Ovis aries: one gene and its partners. The protein of the gene in region 2 interacts with the protein of the main gene of each other region in a pairwise test. Links are inferred from orthologs where the notes say so. Each region holds a gene or a part of one and is shown on either strand. Other genes may lie near its edges. The genes, in order: CCDC136, PRPF31 and SSX2IP.

Region 1 (3,747 bases), on a different chromosome or scaffold from region 2:
ATTATATACTAAATGATAAGCAGAGTATACAGATGTGAAGTTAGGAGATTTACCTTTACTCATTCATTCTACGTGTAAGAGAATTTGTCAGATGCTAGGAGAAGGCAATGGCACCCCACTCCAGTACTCTTGCCTGGGAAATCCCATGGACACAGGAGCCTGGTGGGCTGTAGTCCATGGGGTTGCTAAGAGTCGGACACGACTGAGCAACTTCACTTTCACTCTTCACTTTCATGCATTGGAGAAGGAAATGGCAACCCACTCCAGTGTTCTTGCCTTGAGAATCCCAGGGACGGGGGAGCCTGGTGGGCTGCTGTCTATGGGGTCGCACAGTCGGACATGACTGAAGTGACTTAGCAGCCGCAGCAACAGCAGAGATATACAGAAGACCATGTTAACTCCCAGTCTTCAAGAAAATGGGCAGACAGAAAATTGAAAATCTGACCTTGACAACCCTGAGTGACTGGCAATGCCCTAGAGAGAAAGGAGGAGAGGGTGTGTATAATGGGGTGGGAGGGGGCATCAGGAAGGGCTGCCTAGGGATGACTCCCTGCTGAGTGTTGAAGGGTAAGTAGGGGATGTCCAGGTGAAGAAAGGTTCTCCCCTGAAGAATATGGAGGGCTCGTGAACCTGGGAGCCTGTGGCGGTGACAAAGACAATATATGCCAAAGACCTTGTGAGTGGATGGGTGAGAGAAAGGATTGGTGTGTGTCCCTGGCTTAGGAATCTCCCAGTGCTTTTCTGGATGTCCTGGGACGCCCCAGTTCTCAAGTGTACCCATATTTTTCCTAGCTAAGACCTTCAGAGATGTGAGAACAATTGTTTCTTCAAGACCTGGCCCCTGGTAGACGTTCCTTGAATGAATGATGAAGTTAAGTGAAATAAGCCCGCGTAAGTTTCACATCTCCCATTTTTAACTGTAAATCAGCAGTGCCCACCCTGAACAGGCTATGCGTGCATGATGAGTGGGGGTCATTCTCGCAGCCCACCGGGAGTAGGGCTCGTGGGAAGGCAAGCGGTGGAGAAAGGCGGCCTTCGGACACTAAGGACAGTGTAGGGCCACGGAGCCGCCCCTCCTAAGAGGGTCCCTGCTTCTGGCTTGGTGAGGGGCGCACGCACGGACAACAGAGGGATCAGGGCCCCGAGTTCACGTATCCTGGCCTCAGTTTCCCCGCTCCTGCCCTCACGCAGTTCTGGGGCGGGTGGCCGGGGTCCGCGCCGACTGCAGAGCTGGGGGGCGCGCCCTGCGCCATAGGGAGCCAGGGGAGTGGAAAAGCATCCGCGTGTTTGCAGGAAACAAGCCGGGAGGATCCGTCCATCCTTTTGGTTTTCCTGCCTCATCACCGAGCTAGACGGGATCCTGGCACACGGAGCAGAGGGGGTCTCCTCGCGCAGCCGACTCCTGGCTGCTCGCACTCTCCGCGCGGGTCTCCTCCCATCTCCCGCTCGCTCGGCCTCGGGGAACTCGGGAGCTGCGGCGGCCGACCGGCTTCCGGGCGGGCGGCGGCGGGGGCGGTGTCAGGTGGCCCGGCCAGGCCCCGCCCCCTCGGCCGGCCCGCCCTCCCTCCCCTGCGCACCCGGCTCCGGTACCCGGCCTCGCGGCGGCGGCGGCGGCGGCGGCGGCGGCGGCGGCGGCAGCGGCAGCGGCGGTGGCGAGAGCGGCCATGGAGGCGGGCGCCGGGGCCGGCGCGGGCGCCTCGGGCTGGAGCTGCCCGGGCCCAGGTCAGAGCGCCCCTCCTTCACCTCTCCACTGCCTCTCCTTCCTCTTCTCCATCTCTCCTCCCCCCAGACCCCCACGGCCTCTCCCCCCTCCGCTACTCCCCACCTTGACGGCCGAAGTCTTCCTCCTCCCTCCCTCCCGCCCCCCACCCGGGCCCGGTCTCCATCTTTCCCGGCTGGGTCTTCCCCACACCGGCCGCATCCTCCTTGGCATTCCCTGCCCTGAGCCTTCTCAATCTCGACTCTCCAGCCTCATACTGCTTCCAGCCCTAGGGGCTCTATAGATCCTGCACCCGCTCGCACCCCTAAAGCTTCTGAGCGCGGGGCGCGGGTGGGGTGGACGAAGTCTAGGGAGAGATGGAGGGGAGGGGAGGGGGTCCGGTCCACACGACCCCCGCCAGCCATCGCCGGCCCCCTCCCCACCTTCCCCTTAGGCGCACTACCTCACCCTTTCAGCCTCTTTACTTGCTCCCACCCTCTGCCATCCTTGTCCATCTTCCCCCTCTGTCCCCTCTGGGCTAAAGAGACACACACCCTTTCTACCTGTGCGAGGGAGAGGAGCCTGGAACAGAGGTTGCAGAGGAGGATGGGCAGGGCAGGGCGGGGTCCCCAGAGGCCCAGCCTAAGGGGCAGCTTGGGGAGAGGAGTCGCAGTGCCTGGCAGAGTGAGCCAAGTACTTCCACCGGGATAAAAACCCCCAGGGCTCCGAAGGGCTAGAAGGTGTGTCCCTTCCCCTCCCTGCCTCACCCCAGCCACCCTGGCACCCCACAATCCCTCTCTCTCCTTGCTCACAGGACCCACAGTGACCACTTTAGGCTCCTATGAGGTGTCGGAGGGTTGTGAGAGGAAGAAGGGCCAACGCTGGGGGTCTTTGGAACGGCGGGGGATGCAAGCTATGGAGGGTGAGTTTTCCTGTAAAGCTTTCTTTCCTTCTCCCTCACCCAATTTTCCTTCCTCCCTCTGACCCTCCAGAACTCTGAGCCAGGACACACACCTTCCCCCTAGTTCAGCTCAGCACCCGCTAGCCCTCCTCAGGGCTCAGGTTTTGAGGGAAGTTCAAGGTACATCCTTTTGGGGTTCTAATCACCAGCTAACCAGGTTGTGTGTCCCGAGGGAGCTGCCAGACAGAGAAAGAGGCCTCTTTGGACAGAGCTTTGAAGCAGCCTTTCAGCAGGGGGTTTGTTCTCTCTGCCTCCCGACCCAGATCCCAAGCTGTCTCTTATTTTGAAAAGCAGGGAAGTGAGCACGTGAACTGTCTTTCTGGTGCTGCCACCACTGACTTCAAATGGAAGCCTGGTGGCTTTGGTTCTCTAGGCTATCTTACTGCCTGAAAGAGGGAGCCTGGGAAGGGGGCTGCTGAAAAGGCCAACCTCCCAACACATGTGTATTCCCACAACACCCATGCGACTTGGCAGTTGTTGCCAACACCAGGAGGATGCTAGAAGGGTGCCAGTCCTGTTGCCAGGACTTCCCGTGAAGGGTCCCCAGGTCCCTGTGCACATCTAGTGTGGTCAATCTTGCCCCTTCCCCCCCCACCTCCACTGACCCCGGGGAGACAGATGATGCCAGGGGTCCCAGATGAATCTTAGGCTGTGGTTACTGGACAAAACCAGGCCAGAGACTCAGAATTTTAAAACAATTGCCATCCAGATAAGGTTTTGCTATTTAGAGAAACTGCATTGCAGTAAAGGAGGGGGTGCTTGCCAGCCAGAGACTGGGGACCAACACACCCCAGTTTCTTAACTCATTAAAATGGCAGGCTTTCTTTTACACACAAGTACAACCTATGACTTTCCCCTAAAAACTGCCTTGTGGTCAGCAGGGGAGGAAGTGAGACCCCCAGACACTCAGCAGGGAAAAGAAAAGTGGACTTGGTAGAAAATTTCAAAAAGTCTATTCAATGGAATATGTTTGGAAGGGCCCCAGTGTTTGTCCAGTAAATCCTTTAGATCATTTCATTCAGATGTTCTCTTTCTCTGCCTACTGACAGGCAACACTTTCATATAATGGAAAGGCTAGTTTCTCACA
Region 2 (3,647 bases):
GGCTCCGGCCTCCTTGCTCCTGCCCCCTTGCACCCGCCCGTGCGGGCCACCCTCTGGCTCCCAGCTCCCGACGCCTGCCGCCAGCAGTGACCCGGGGACCCGGGGGGCACTCACTGGGGGCAGGGACTGCACGATGTCGCTGTGGTAGATGTAGCCGGTGTGGGGCAGCACCGAGGTGGACGAGAAGCCCGACAGGGTCTTGCGCTGCGCCCCAAGCAGCATGATGTTGCAGGCAGGCATCTTGGAGAGGTTGGTCAGGCCGCCAGCCACCCCTGCAGCAGGAGGGGGCAGACATCAGCGAGGTGGCGGGGGGTGGTCCGCCGAGCGCTGCCCCTTCACAGGAGTTTCCAGCCGCAGGCCTGAGGGGGGCCCGCCAGGGAGCGTCAACATGTCCCATCTCGGGGGGGATTCAGAGGGGCTCCGAGAGGCAAAGGGACGTGCCGGAGGCTGCACAGTGAGCCCCTGGCCCACGAGAAACCTGACCCCTCGTCTGGGAAGCCACGTGGGCCTGCCTGTGCTTCAGGGGTTGGTCACCACACCAGCGGCCCGGGTGTGAGCCACCTCTGGGTTCCAAGAGCGTGTCTGCGGGTGCGGGCAACACCCTCCTGGTCTCCAGGGTGGAAACCAAGGCGCGTGACACGGTTTGCCCAAAGACGTGAGGTCAGAGGTGGCGGGGAGTGGGAGAAGCAGGAGTTCATCCTTCCTGCAACCCTGCACACCCCTGCCTCACGGGCAGAACTGTGTTCCCCACAGATTCACTCGCTGAAGTCCTAAGCCCCCACCATCTTAGAATCTGGAGACAGGGCCTTTGCAGGGGTGAGCCAGGTGAGACGACGCCCCCAGGCTGGACCCCCAACCAGGAGAACAGGTGCCCCGATGGGAGGGGAGACCGGGACCCGGGATGACCAGGAGAGGACCCGCGGGCAGGGGCCACCCCCCTGCGGAGAGGCCGCAGAGGCACCCCGCCCCCGACGCCCAGTGCCGCCCTATCCCGAGGACGGATCTCGCCCTCGAAGCCGCGCCTGCGGTGACTGACTCGCTCGCTGGTCTATCACACACGTGCCCGCAAGCGTTCCTCGGCTGAAGGGACCAGGTGCCTGGGGGAGGTGGCGGGGCGCGCCCCGAGGAGGAAGGGACTCACTCTTCCCCATCACGCTGCCAGGACGAGCGCCCCCATCTTGCGGGGAACCCTGGGGCGCAGAGAGCTGACCCATCACCAGGCGGCCCCGGGTCCCCGGCCTCCCCACCGGCCACGCCCCGCCGCCCCTGCAGCTGCCGGGCCCCAGCTCTGCCGGCCGCCACGCTGGTCCGCGATCTCCGGACAGACGAGCAGGTGGGTATGGGGGCCGCGTGCTGGGCCCCAGGACGTGCAGAACACGCCCCGATTCACAGGAAAGGGACAGGCCTCCGCGAAGCCACGGGCGCGGGGCCGGGCCTCACCCATGATCTTGGCGGCGGTGGAGGCCCCGATGATGATGGAGAGGTTGGGGGCGATGAAGGACATCCGCGACTCCACGTACTCGTAGATGCGGTGCTTGGAGGCGTTCAGCTCCAGCGCCATGTCGCAGGCCTCCTCCAGCCGCTCCAGCTCCTCCTCCGACAGCTGCTGTCTGCAGGCAGGGTGGGGACACAGCTGGGGCGGGGCACGGCGGGGGCGGACTGAACGACCCGTGCTGCCGCGGGTCCTGAGTGGTGAGGGGCCCCAACCTCCCCGCCATGTGCGCCTGCGTGCGCGTGCACCTTCGGGACGATTACTAGCTCCGCCAGCCCGCTGCCCGTGGTGGCGCGTCCTCGCCGCTTTCCCTTCTCTGCCCGGCCTGCAGCCGGGCTCTTTGCAGGTGTTCCATCTTTCTGAAACGCTCCCCCCAGCTCCCCAGACCTTGCAGGTCTCGGCCTTGCCAACCAGCGAGGCCGCCATCCAGCTGCTCCCACCAGCTGCCGTCGACCCTGCCCATTCACGGCTTGTCCAGTCAGAGCCCTGCTGTGGGGTGACACGCCTCTGCCCTTCTCGCAGGCCCACCACAGACGTTGAGGGGCAGGGGGAGACCCCGTGTGCCCCTCCTTAGGGGACGCCACTTCTAATTACAGGCCTGCCCTCCGCTGCACCCCTGAGGACCACAGGCTCTGGGAGGAGGCTGGCTTCCCAACGCCGGGGACCCGGGGCCCAGAGCCTGGCCTGCAGGAGGTGCTCGGCGAACACGTGGCAGCGCAGCAACCCGTCCTCCTGACACTACGCCCGTGCCGCGGGGCCCCACGACCGACGGCCGCCGGCTGGGCCCGCCGGGCACGCACCCCTGGGTGGTGGAGGCGGTGACGCTGACGACCATGATGGTGGCGTTGGTCAGGATCTGCTGCAGGTTCTCGTTGTTCTTGCATTTGTCCAGGCTGTTGCCCAGCTCCTGCGGGAGGGGGGGCATGAGGGGGATGAGGGGGATGAGGGGCATGAGGGGGATGAGGCGGAGGCCCGGGGACTCAGGAGGGTCTAGAACCTCTCCTGCAGGGACAGCGGCCGCCCCGTCTGCCCCCAGTTCCTACAAGCCCGAGGCTCAAAGCATCCGCAGTCTGCCCCGGGAGGGGGCTTGCCCAGAAGCAGACGGTCCACCTGCAGAGGACGGGCTGCCCCCACAGGCCTGCAGCCCGCGTCCACTCGCGGTGCAGGTCTGACCGCGTCTCCTCCCCACCCCCATCTGCTCGACTCTCCAGGAGCCTGGGTGCTGGGTGGTGTCCCGCCTTCACGTGCCTGCCCCTCCCGTGGGGCCTGCCCCTCCCGTGGGGCCTGCCCCTCAGACCCGGAGCCTCGGAGGCCAGATTGACCTGATGACCTCTTACACTCGCCTCCTCCCTCTCCCTGAACGCTCCAGGGCCTGTTGCCACCTCGGGGTCTTGGCTTCCCCCAATCTCTGCTCCCTGTTCCCATCCTGCCTCTGGCCCAGAGCTGAGTGACCCCCTGGAGGGTCCAAGAGCAGGGTGCTCTCAACAGGCGTGGTGGCTGGGGGCCCATCCTCTGTGCTCACCTTGACGGTGCGGATGTAGTCCAGGGCGTTGGGGACCAGGGACTCCAGCTCGGGGAATCGCTTTGAGTACTTATCCCGGATGAACTTATGGATGATGTCTGGGGGCACAGGGCGGGCAGGAGCCCGATGAGGGGCAGGCAGACACCGCTGGCTCCCCCAGCACCCATCTGCCCTTCGTCCTGCAGTGAGGGAGCCCCTTGTGGCAGCCGGGCTCACAGACACACAGCACAAAGGCTGCCCCTACTGCAGGGTGTGGCTGTGTGGATCAGTTCTGGTCCATAAGGCGTGAGGGCAAGTCACACAGGCAACTTCCAGGTCACTCTTTTAAGTGAAAAAATGTGCCCTCCTCCTCTCTCCTGATTGTTTTTGCTGATGGGGATGTGGAGGTGATGGCTGGAGGTGGGCAGTCACTTTGTACCATGAAACAGGCGACAAATCAGTGAGACACAGACAGCCTGGGCTCCTCATCCAGACTTTCCCACGGGAGGAAAATACACTTCCTTGTCACGTCACCCTTCTGTTCAGTAGCTGAACCTACGTCTGAGCTAATGCAGGGGCTTCGGGGCAGGGCCCTGGGAGACGCCAGCAGGGAAGGTGGCCTGGGATCCTGCCCGCCCCTCCAGTGGGGACGGG
Region 3 (3,543 bases), on a different chromosome or scaffold from region 2:
ACTACAATACCTGCAGCAAGGACTGGGTATGTGTAGGTTTCTACATGCAGAGATAAATAAGGGTTAGGTACTTAAAGCTTTCTGATGAAAACCCTGGAAAGGGCTTGGGCCCACACTTACATTATTCTTACTATAAATAATAACAACAACAACAACCATGAAGAAACATGCAATTAGTCCAGAAAATAAAACAAGTCTGTCCAGAGTATCATAGTATCTGGACTATAAAGTCTGATAATTTATGTTGTCAGATTCCCTTATTACTAAATATCTCATTGAAAAATTATTAAATAATTATTGGCAACTATACAAAGCCTTTGCTGGTACAGGCGTTACAGTATGGGTACCCATCTGGTAAAGAAAATATCACCATCCAAACATCTTAAATATCAGTATCTTCTAACATCGAAGTATCCTAAGCCAATACTCTTAAATTGTTTTATCCAAAGGTACTCTAATCATCTTACCTCTATTACCCTAAAATCAACAGTCCTTTGAAAATTGTAATATCCTTCATATTAAAAAAATCCAATGCTATAGAAATCTCAAAAATGGAATGTTAGTAATATTAATTATCTAAAGAACTTGGCTTCATGGAATAGCTTTTGAGTATTTATTGCTCAGATGGGTTCAAAAACTTCTTAAACATAATGCTGCAATGGCTTTCATACATCTGTAACAGAATATCACTAATAAAAATTTACCGGCATGAAATACTATAATTATGGATGTGTAAAATCTTTAAATCTTAAAGCCTCTTAACATAATCATGTATATCTATGTACAAAACATACATAAACTTCACTTTATTTAAAACATATGAAAGAGGGAATTTCAAATCACATTAAACATAATAAATATAGAACTTGCTTTGTTAAAAATCTACAGTATACATTCAAGGAAAGGCTAAACTTCCAATGCCAACTATGTATGAGACAAAATTAAACATTTACAATAATCAGTTTCCTAAAAGTGCTATTTTTAAGATCTATAATAGGAAACTCATTCTAGTGCTTTGTTTTCATCCAAACATGTATACATTCCTTTATTCACAGAACCAGATGCTTCTGTTACTAAAAATACATATCCAAAGTTTTTATATCCTTTTAAATAGATTTAACATTTTAGCTCTTTGGGGAGGAACAGGGAAGTCCAAACAAACAACACAGACCACCTTAAATTATTAAGAGATCACTGACTTTATAACATGCCCTGTTTCAACTCAGATGTGAAATCTGATGACCATGTTAATGAAAAAAAAAACTCCCTGTTCATATATCTAAGGTAAGTCATCCTTCTCTACATGAGAATTTGTGTAGGCCAAGGAGCATCCACTATAGCAACCTTCCTGTGACCCAGGCCTTGACGACATGCTCCACTTCTGATTTGTACATTCTCTTCCAACCTGATTTGGCTTAGTTTCTTCAGGGGTGATATTCAGTACATTGATTGAACTGCTGGGGAAAGAAAGGCAGATCTTAATTATTATCTCCTCCCTTCATACCTTAGATATGCCTGAATGTCTAAAATCTGATTTCTCCCTTGCCCCATGCTAAACAAAAATTTTGAGGACACACTGGTCAAGAACATACAAGTGCTTTAACATGGTCTAGTCTAATTTATCACTTTGATCTATCCATCTATTTATTTATCTGTTCAGTCTACTCTGAAGGATGCTACCCAACCAGAGCCTAAGGCAGACAGATAACATGTGAATTTTGAAAGCTAATGTCTCCCATACCACAATGTCCTAGTCTTTTTATGCTTTCTTTCTTCACTCATTGATTTGTTCATGCACGCTTGCATCCTCCATCCATTCAGCCATGCAGATATTTAATGAGGGCCTACAAAGTAGTGAAGAGTCTAGGCCCGAACAGATGGTTTAGGTTCACATCCCAGCTGGACACTTAGTGCATCATTTCTGGCAAGTTAAGCCCTGCTGTTCTTCAGCTTCCTCAGCTGTAAAGTGGAAATAATATTAGAACCCATAACTCATAGGCTTGAGGTGGAAACTAAATGAGTTAACACACACTAAGCACGTGTGATGATGCTCAATTAACTTTAAGTGTCAGACAACAACAATTTAAGTGTCTGAACACTGATACAGACCCCTAACTTCAGAGATACTGTCTGAGGTATGCTCTGCAACCAGCCTCAAAGCAAGGAAATTTAGTTAAATGACTACTCGCAAATCATGGGCTGAGCCAATGAACAATACATTTTTATCAACTAAATAGCTTAATTTTTTCCATAAAACTTATTTTCCCTAAATATTCATTTTTTGATGTGACTTTGGTTAATAACTCAACCTTATAATGTGGCAATCCTTAAAAAAATTAAGGTGCTCCAATTCTAAAACTCTAAACCAAAAACACTGACAATTTTATACTTATTTGCTTTAAAAAAAAAAAAAGGCACTTGCTTATAAATCAGATTCAGAATCCCTGCCATCTCAGATGAGATTAGATCAATGGTGAACTAAGTTTCCTACATAACTTAGTACGTGAGTTACTTTGCCGTTACGTTGCTGTAACGTGAGTTACAGCTGATATGTAACATTCCACTCTACAGTGAAGGAGGAATGAGGATGTGCTATAGAAATTAGGCATAAATACTCCTAATTATTTTGCCATAATCTTATTACAAACCCAGATCCAAAGTGCTTGAAGATCAGGAATTCAAATACACCAAATAATTAAAAATTTCAAGGCCGATGTCAAGCTGCACAGCTTCTTGCTTGATAACTAGTCACGTGACTCTTATTTTATCCTCAGAGGCCAGCAACTGGGAATAGCTTAACGAAATTTTCTTAAGCTCCAAAATTCTGTTTCTATGCCACTGATACTGTTCAGTGTAGCTCTTGGGATACAAGAAACAGAAAAGCATTTTTATAATCCATTTATGCTTACATATATTTTTATATGCTGCTACTGAAGGTTTACAAAGGGCCAAGTACTGTTTTAAGTGCTTTACATATACTGGCACTGCATCTCACACAGTACCCTTAATGTAGGTACTAAATGTTGGCCTTTTCATTAAACACAGTCTTCAAGGAGTTATAACTAAAAATAATTATGTAAAAAAGTAAAAATTCTAAATATATAAATATAATTGAGGCAACTAGGCTACATTCTCCTTTAGGTACAGAATGCATTATAAGCATACTTCATTTTATTGCATTTCAACTTACTGTACACTTTGCAGATATTGTATTTTTTACAAACTGAGGGTTTATGGCAATCTTGGGTTGTTTCCTAGTGATGAAGTATTTTTTAATTATGGTAGGCACACTGTTCTCTAAATACACTGCTACTGCACACTCAATCGATAACAATACAGTGCAAACACAACTTTTACATGCACTGGGAAGCCGGCAAGTTCAAGTAGCACGCTTTGTTGTGATATTCCCTTTTGTCTCAGTGGTCTGGAGCTGAGTCTGCAACGTCTCTGAGGGCTGCCTGCATTTGTGAATTGCGACTAGAATGTGTATCTAAATCTATACGCAGAGTTTTGATTGGTCAATTTGGGGGTTTCAATAACATT

What was found.
Region 1: the proteins of PRPF31 (region 2) and CCDC136 interact in binary tests that used the Homo sapiens proteins (3 or more experiments, as listed by UniProt). The two-hybrid records come from large-scale screens. The link is inferred for Ovis aries from reciprocal best matches to the Homo sapiens genes PRPF31 and CCDC136.
Region 3: the proteins of PRPF31 (region 2) and SSX2IP interact in binary tests that used the Homo sapiens proteins (3 or more experiments, as listed by UniProt). The two-hybrid records come from large-scale screens. The link is inferred for Ovis aries from reciprocal best matches to the Homo sapiens genes PRPF31 and SSX2IP.

Annotation. Positions count from the first base shown.
Region 1 is NC_056057.1:94,459,183-94,462,929, forward strand, and holds the start of CCDC136 (coiled-coil domain-containing protein 136), read left to right. Parts: upstream 1-1,575; 5' UTR 1,576-1,664; coding exon 1,665-1,722; intron 1,723-2,513; coding exon 2,514-2,621; intron 2,622-3,747. UniProt on the Homo sapiens protein: May play a role in acrosome formation in spermatogenesis and in fertilization.
Region 2 is NC_056067.1:64,008,819-64,012,465, forward strand, and holds part of PRPF31 (U4/U6 small nuclear ribonucleoprotein Prp31), read right to left. Parts: intron 3,113-3,647; coding exon 3,015-3,112; intron 2,400-3,014; coding exon 2,293-2,399; intron 1,611-2,292; coding exon 1,441-1,610; intron 273-1,440; coding exon 115-272; intron 1-114. UniProt on the Homo sapiens protein: Involved in pre-mRNA splicing as component of the spliceosome. Required for the assembly of the U4/U5/U6 tri-snRNP complex, one of the building blocks of the spliceosome.
Region 3 is NC_056054.1:61,675,932-61,679,474, forward strand, and holds the end of SSX2IP (afadin- and alpha-actinin-binding protein), read right to left. Parts: intron 1,960-3,543; coding exon of another isoform or gene 1,956-1,959; exon of another isoform or gene 1,458-1,955; coding exon 1,280-1,457; 3' UTR 600-1,279; downstream 1-599. UniProt on the Homo sapiens protein: Belongs to an adhesion system, which plays a role in the organization of homotypic, interneuronal and heterotypic cell-cell adherens junctions (AJs).